Linked DNA regions of Schizosaccharomyces pombe. The protein of the gene in region 1 purifies or fractionates together with the protein of each later gene. This does not show direct contact. Each region holds a gene or a part of one and is shown on either strand. Other genes may lie near its edges. The genes, in order: cnx1 and pho4.

What was found.
Region 2: the proteins of cnx1 (region 1) and pho4 purify together in Schizosaccharomyces pombe (affinity purification with western blotting, with the first as the bait; one study listed by BioGRID). This does not show direct contact.

The regions. Positions count from the first base shown.
Region 1 is NC_003424.3:2,085,566-2,090,276, reverse strand, and holds cnx1 (calnexin Cnx1), read left to right. Parts: upstream 1-1,952; 5' UTR 1,953-1,979; coding exon 1,980-3,662; 3' UTR 3,663-3,884; downstream 3,885-4,711. Other genes in the region: CLIP170 family protein Tip1, read right to left, coding at 1-490; pex13 (peroxin 13), read right to left, coding at 4,163-4,711.
Region 2 is NC_003423.3:444,606-448,668, forward strand, and holds pho4 (thiamine-repressible acid phosphatase Pho4), read right to left. Parts: upstream 2,424-4,063; 5' UTR 2,204-2,423; coding exon 812-2,203; 3' UTR 719-811; downstream 1-718. UniProt on the Schizosaccharomyces pombe protein: May dephosphorylate thiamine phosphates.

The DNA.
Region 1 (4,711 bases):
CAACCGTAGCCAACACTTCTTCCAATTGCTGTTGATGGTTTTGACGTTCGTAAAGCAAATCCTCAATACGTTTCTGAAGAATTTTTTCGGTTGGCGTTAAGGCAGTAGAGGAAATAGTATTCATACTGAGATTACTAGAGGACGAAACATTGGTTAATCTTGGAATAGATGATTGAAGATTAGGAGACATAGGAGGAAAACCCATTCCTATTGATGCTGCAGTTCCATCTATTTTGGGAGAAGGTGATGATGAAATAGAAGATGCAAGCTTACATTTATCGAATGGCACAAAAATGCCCGTCTTCTCGTTGTTTTTAGTTTTGAAGTATTCACGACCATCAACGACGCCTCTGTTTTTACCAAACTCGGCAAATTCAGGTAAAAGCTCCAAGCCGACATACACACCTTTTCGGTTTTCCACTTCTCCAGCATAACGGACAAACCCCCGCTCTCCGGTTATTACCTCAACGACACTGCCAAGAGGAAACATTTAGAGGAAAATTTAGGAATATTAATAAAAGATTCAAAAGTTTCTCGATGACAAAAATAGAGCTATAAGGTTTGAAGGAGTAAAGTTGAAAATGGAACGTAGAAAATGCTGACGTGGTATAAGGAATAAAAAGAAAGAGACAATTTGAAACCAAAAGATTGTAATCAAGTATTAGGGGGATAACAAAAAATTCAATTCGTAGATAAATGAATATATCTATTTGCTGCCGACAAAAGATCGTAAATTAAGTACTCAAGTAACCAATTTTCCAGCTTATTTGATTTGATATATGTTATACTAGCAGTGAGAAAGGGAGAAGAATTAAAAGAAGGTTAACCAATATCCAAAATTGAGGTAACTATTGATGAAATTACTATGGTCAAGTCTCAACTTTCCAATTAAGTTTTTAGATTATCAATTAAAGATCTTCATCTAAACAAAATTTAAAAGAAATATAATAAATACAGTTGAAAGCAAGCAAACGCACCGTGGTGTACTAATCCTATGAATATAGGTGGGTACTGGTAAAGTGGTATTTGCTCGAACTGCTTAGAGGTAACATTGCTACTTAATCAAAATTAAAAGTAAACAAAACAATGAATAAATATACTCAATACAAAATAGTTGTTTTATCACAACAACAAATCTTTGTTTACTAACTAACTCTTTAATAAAAATTATATGTATCAGATGTTGTAAAACTTATTATACTAGAGTATGAAAGCAATTTACGAAGTGCAAAGCGGTGTGTTTTTATTAATAGATATTACTCTCATAGATTTCATGTTTCAATCTGTTACCAAGACAATAGTCATCTTTCTCTTTAACCCGGTAGATATTTGCACTTAATAATGATGGACTTGCTAAAAAAATATTTGCTATTTGAGATTTTGCTAAAGGCTAACTATAAACTATTTAAAAAAAAAACATATTAAATATTGTGATTGTCCCAATTTTGAGCTAATGGTGTACGAGAATAAAAAAACTTGTTTGATACCTGACAGTTGTTATGCGTCAGACTAAAGCATATTCTAATGATTGAAGATTCAAAGACTACGAGTATAGCGCTTTCAAGGCTTTATGACTAGTGATAGTTTGTAAACTTTTATTTTATCTCATTGTTTGCATTACTCTTTTTTTTTACTTAATGGGGAGAACAATTAAAGCCAAATACTTAGTATATTAAAATGCAAACGTTTACTGTAAACATGTTACTGCAACCTTCATTATAGCAAGACATTGCGCTCCGTAATTCACAAAGTAAGAAGTAAAATAAATATAAAGATCTAATGCAAATACAACTTACCAGATAGGTCTTTCAAATCTAATCATCTAAGTTTAATGCGATTTGTTTTTCGTTCCGGAACCTTCTCCATTATTCTTTCGATTATGTTTGCTGATCCATCTCATCGATCAAAGCCGTAGTACTACCAAAACACACGCAAAACCGCGCACCGTAGTTATCAACTACACCACCCAACACGTGGAAATGAAGTACGGAAAGGTATCTTTTCTAGCGCTTTTGTGCTCTTTATATGTTCGGGGATCACTTGCTGATCCTGAATCCGAACAAGAACCTTTGGTTTTTAACCCAACTGAAGTGAAAGCGCCTCTTGTTGAGCAGTTTCAAGGTGCATGGTCTGAACGTTGGATTCCTTCACATGCTAAACGATTTGTAAATGGTATTGAAGAAATGAGCTATGTAGGTGAATGGACTGTTGAGGAAAGTTCTGGTCCCGGTGCCCTTAAGGGTGAAGCCGGTCTCGTTATGAAAGACGAAGCCGCTCATCATGCTATTTCTTATGAATTTGATGAACCCATAAATGAACCAGAAAAGGATTTGGTAGTTCAATATGAGGTTAACCCCGAAGAGGGTCTGAACTGTGGTGGTGCATATTTAAAGCTCTTAGCAGAACCCACTCATGGTGAAATGTCAAACTCCATCGATTACAGAATCATGTTTGGACCCGACAAATGTGGTGTTAATGACCGTGTTCATTTTATCTTCAAGCATAAGAATCCCCTTACGGGTGAGTATTCCGAGAAGCATCTCGACTCTAGACCCGCCAGCCTTTTGAAACCTGGTATTACAAACCTTTACACTTTAATTGTGAAGCCTGACCAAACCTTCGAAGTCCGTATTAATGGCGATGTTGTCCGTCAAGGATCTTTGTTTTATGATTTTATACCTCCTGTTCTTCCTCCCGTTGAAATTTACGATCCCGAAGATATCAAGCCTGCTGATTGGGTTGACGAACCTGAAATTCCTGACCCCAATGCGGTTAAGCCTGATGATTGGGATGAAGACGCTCCCCGTATGATTCCTGATCCTGACGCAGTGAAACCTGAGGATTGGTTAGAGGATGAACCTCTTTACATTCCTGATCCTGAAGCTCAGAAGCCTGAGGATTGGGATGATGAAGAAGATGGTGATTGGATTCCAAGTGAAATCATCAATCCTAAATGCATTGAAGGTGCTGGCTGTGGTGAATGGAAGCCACCGATGATTCGTAACCCTAACTATCGTGGCCCTTGGTCTCCTCCTATGATCCCTAATCCTGAATTCATTGGTGAATGGTATCCTCGTAAAATTCCTAACCCTGACTATTTTGATGATGATCATCCTTCTCATTTCGGTCCACTCTACGGTGTTGGTTTCGAACTTTGGACTATGCAGCCCAACATCCGCTTTAGCAATATCTATGTCGGCCATTCAATTGAGGACGCTGAACGTCTTGGAAATGAAACTTTCCTACCTAAATTGAAAGCTGAAAGAGAATTACTTTCTAAGCAAGAGTCCATGGAAAAGCAATCAATGCATGTTGACGAAGAGTCTAATCAAATTCTTGAGAAGTTTCTTGACGTATATGATATTATTAAAGCTAAACTTCCTCCAAATGTTGCCGAAAAAGTTGACTACTATGTTGAAACCATCATCGAGACTCCTGAAATTGGGATTGCAATTGTTGCCGTTCTTGGCTCTTTAACCGCTGTTATTCTTACTTGTTACTTTTATTTCTTTGCTTCCTCTTCCCCGGCTTCTTTATCTACTGGAACTACGGAAGCTGAGAAAGAGCAGCAAGAGAAGTTTAAGCAAGAGACTGAGACTGAGAAGATAGACGTTTCTTACGCTCCCGAAACTGAATCACCAACTGCGAAGAATGAAGACTAATGAAACTGCTAAAATGTCAAAAGTTTTTCTTATTTTAAGAATCGCATAGAAGTTGCAATAAACTACTTCCTGTTCCTTTGTGGACTTTTGACTGAAGTAAATGAATATATCAATATATATACTCACTAATACAGCATATTTTGTTTACAAAGTTTGACTCAAAGTAGCGACTCTGTTAAAAGCCTTAGTCTAATTATAAAATACTTGAAAATGTTTTCTCTAGTTCTTATTATGAGTAATATCAATAAATAGACTATGAATTTATAAATCGTGGGTAGTACTATCAAAAAACTTTTTACAACTGCGCATTAGTCGTCAGAGAGAAATGATCAGGCATTTCCCATAAACAAGTGCAAGTAATGCGTGAAATTCTGCAATCAAGAGAAAGGATGTTTGTCTACATATCTTGTGAGAATAGTAGAATAAATTGTCAAACTAAAAAGTTCGTTTACTATACGGGATTCAGACATTTTATTGTCCTCAAACAAAATATCGTAACGTTACCTTGAAATGATTGAACAATAATTTGAAGGAAACCACCCAGTCTCGCCAGATCTCTTTCTTCCTTGCCACCATTCGCAAGGATTACCTTGGGTGTCTGTTTTAGATAGAATTGCTATGATATCTCCTTTTTTTAAAGACATTTCCACTCCCGGATCTCTGGACATAAACTCATAATCAGCCTTGCAAAACTCAAGACTATCAATTTTTTTTCTGATTTTTGCTTGTTGAATCTGTTTTTCTTTTTCATAAATATTTTTGAATAACCTAATTATTGCATAAGGTAAGCCCACCAACCCAAGAATAATTGCCAAGCTACTGACAATTGAATATATTGAATTTTTATGGTTTCCTTCCTCCTTCTCAAATACATCATATTCTTGTGAATTCATTTCATCGATTTTAGAATGCTTGAAGAACTTTAAAACTAGGCGTTTAAGCCGCGACAACAATGAAACAATACCAAATATTGCACCAATAGACGATTTTAGTTTGTTCAGATTTTCACTCACAGAAACAAATGTATTATAACTCATGTGAGCAGCCAT
Region 2 (4,063 bases), on another chromosome or scaffold:
TTTGAAAATGCGCTGTTTGGTGTGATTACCATGTTTAATTATTGAAGATTTAATGCTTTGGTAATTCCGGATAGCTGGTTTTTCGCGAAAATGTTTGAAATCGGTGATTTTGGATAGTATCTTAAAAAATAAGAAAATTGTCAGAAGAAGCACCTTCTTACGCGAAGCCTTAGTTTTATCATTTGGAACATCTCATGGCAATGTTCATTTTGATTTATAGAGCTACAGATATTAAAGGGTTTAAAAAAAGGGATTGATTGATTCTTTTATCCGTGTAATGGAAAAGGAGGACTAGGGATTTTTTTTTTGGCAAATTACATGACTTTCAAATATTTTAAATGAATTCTATTAAACTTTTGTGTCGTTCGTGTGTGGTAAAAGGTGAGTTGTTGACGCCAAAAGGAATCGTTAATGTACGCGTTATATCTTGAGAAATGTTTAAGATTTATCCCGACCTATTAATATTAATGATTTGGAAAGGAATTACAAAAGCTACGGAGTCACTTGAAAGGCTTTGAAGTAAGTCGAATTGAAGAATTAGCTTCACCTAAAGGCGGTACGAGTGAAGGTTATAGATTTCGTACTAGGCATTTAAAACTATAAGTATTTCCTTTTTTGTTCAAACACTGACACAACTCGTTTATACTATGTCTCGTAAGTCTTTCTTGAATATATAAATGCTCACTTTCTGTTCGCTCTACTTTTCCTCCTTAATACCTAAGTCTTATACATAAGCTATTACTATAGTTAAAAATTATCTATATTATTCCTAAGGACCCAATTGTGTTAACAATAATATAAGATGCTAAGTCTAGTAGTAGACGGTAACGTTGGTGGAATGCGCCTGACATTGCGAGTTAAAATTAGCAATACCATTAGAGGTAGAATTAACACGAACCGAAGAATTCAAGTAAGCGCTCAACTCGCATAACCCATCTGAAGCACCACTAGGACCATAACCGCAATCAGTAAGGGGGTATACTTGCTGGTTGACGAGATGGCGTACATAGTATTTATTATCAGAACATAAGAAAAGTTCAGTAATTAAGTTTCCTGCGAAGGGAACGAACGAAGAGGTTTTTAATGAGTATGTAAAAATGTTTTTGTCAGTCGGTAGAGGGTGCTCAGGAGTAATGTCGGGGAAAAACCCAAGAGCAGCCTCGACTGGAATAATTTGAGAGTCGTGGGTAAACGCTAAGAATACCTTACGATCGGAAGCATTATTCACACCCTTACGAAGATTATTTGCAAGGTTATTAACATAAGCCCCACCTAATGTGGAAGCCCATTCTGAAGCGGGACCACCCCAATATGCGTAGTCAAGGTCACTGTCATATTCAAAATTCAAAAATTCAGAGGGAGTAAAGAGTGAACAGAAATCGCTGTTATCTCTGAGAGCGATCTCGTATACACAAATATAGTAAAGACTGCGAACATCCGAAACCGTAAGATTATAACCGCTATCAAAGTATTTGTTTAAGCGATTGGCGATAGGCTTGAGAAAAACATTACGCCAACTAGTATGGGCGGCTTCAGTAGTGTTTTCATCAATATTGTTGTCTTCATAAACGGGACAAGAGTAATACATAGCTAAGGAGTTTGCACCCGCAGAATCGTCTTCCGGAAGAACGATGAAGTTGGTTTTGTTCTGCATATCATCGCCAAACATTCCATAACTAAACCATTCTGCAGAGTCGACAACACGTTCTTGAGCAGCAGTATTGATATCGTAGACATCAGTGTCGAAAAGCTCATAGTAGCGCTCAAAAACTTGACGGCCCAAGTCAAAAAGTTCAATTCGACCGCTGCTGGACAACTGGTCGGCATTTTCAGCCTTTATCACAGGAGTCCAATGTTTAACGAAGTAAAGAGGATTTTCAGGATAGCTAAAATTTACCGGAATTGAGCCATTTAGAAGCTTGTTTTGAAAAATATCTATATATTGCGCACTAGAGACATCAGTGGCAGTGTCATCCCCAGTCGGGTTTCGAGATCCATGACGCTGAAGCAAATGAACCTGTTTAATTGCACAAGATTCGGGGAAGGAGGTAGTGGGCCCATTAAAGTAGGGTTCATGATATACACTAATCGTTCCAAGATGGTCCTTGAAATAAAACTCATTTTCAAATGCCTCAAATTGAGATTTACCAGCATGAACGATGGATGCGGCCAAAAGCCATAGAGAAATACCACTTAACTTCATCGAGAAAAAACAATGAATTTATGTAACCCAAGCAGACCCAATAAAACCACAAGAAAGAAATTTACTGTGTATGAATCAACCAACGACCAGCGATTCAATAGCAAAAAAAATAACGATCGAATATTTAAAAGCGGGTTGAAACGAACGGTAGTCTATTCAATCAACGAACTTTGATTATTTGAAGTAGGAAAAGTCTAAAATAAACAGTCAAAAGATGACTATTCTAAGCGCAAGAAGCAGCAGATATTTATATACAATCAATCCGGATATCTGCTAACACTAAGCACCCCGGCTACCACCAAACCAAAGTCTGATTTCGGCACGACTACATTGGAATTAAAAAAAATGAATGAAGTTGCAAACCTGGTGTAGTTCGCTATTAGACTTTAAGATTTTGGACCCACAATTGTTAACTGAAATAACGATGCAAATTACGGACAAAGTGTTACAGTAATATTATGCGATTAATAATACAACGGTGTAATATAATGATATTATTATTACTGAACTTACAAAAATCTGATATTCCAATACTTAATAATTTAATAGAACTAAAGAACGAAGTTTCAGTTGGAAATGATTTTGCAGTCTTTTTGTTTTATATAAATTTATATTATATAATAGCAATGCCTACTCTCTGTGAAATGGAATTATAAATGATAATGTAATACAAAATGAATACTATTGTGTAAAGATGTGCAAACATTGTACGAGCTGCTACATAATATTGCATAATAAAGATATTTTTACATGTATATCACTAATAAGAAGTTGGGCATTGAAGAGTATTAGTCTGCTATCTTTGCAAATTGCTTCTAATATGTATATAAATAGCTTGGGAGAAAATTATTATTAATATTTAGTCTTTAGTAAGATCCAACAATTTAATTTATTAGAGCTACTTGTTTCATGCCGTTCTTAAATGTCCAGAAAAAAGATTTATTCATTCCAATAGAATAAATTAATATAATAAACAAGCATTCCCGCTATTCCAGCGTTAATATAATGGGTTTCATATGCATATTCAAAATGTATATAAAGGGTATACTAGCCACATTGTCATGTGCAGCCCTCGCTTAAGTAATAGCTTAAAACAACTGTGGGGTTATTGAAGAAATGAAAATGTTAAAAACGTAAAAGTTGTTTGTTTGTACGGTTGGACCCTCTAAACACTTTTTTCTATTCTGACATTTAATTAATTTTATGATGAAGATTTTTTTTATGTTCAGTAAGTAAAGCGATGCCTTATAACAATATTACAATGGTAATGGTATAAATAAAGATAAAAATTTTATAGCAATTGCAAGAATGAGTACTTTTGAAAACTCGGTTATTGGAGAATCAAGCTGAAGTGGTTGAAGCGAGCTAGTAATAACTCACTTTAAAGCATTTACCAATTGAAGTCTCACAAGCCTTTTGATATTTCGAAAAGGAAGGAATTATGCTAGGCACTCAGCATAAAAAGAACCATTTTATATGATAAAGGGCAAAGGGAAATTAATTTTCTCTCTATAATAGTAAGTATACTGTTGGATATTTATTCCAAAGGAAATATAGGCGGTGAATTCTACTTTTATCTTCTGATCTCTACGCTTTTATTATCAACCGTAAGAGTCTTTCTTTTATAGTAATAACAATCCAGTTAAAAAGGGATAAAAATACTTATCTTCCTTTTTATATATTACTAATCCTAAAAGAGCTTAGAAATAAGCAATTTTTTATTAACTAGTTCTTTATAAAAGCATATTTATAGAGAAAAGCATTTCATGAAATTATGCTATGTACAGCGAAATACGAAAATAAAATACCTCCTTTGACTAGAACTGTAAGCAACAAAGAGTAAACAATAAAAGCTTGTAG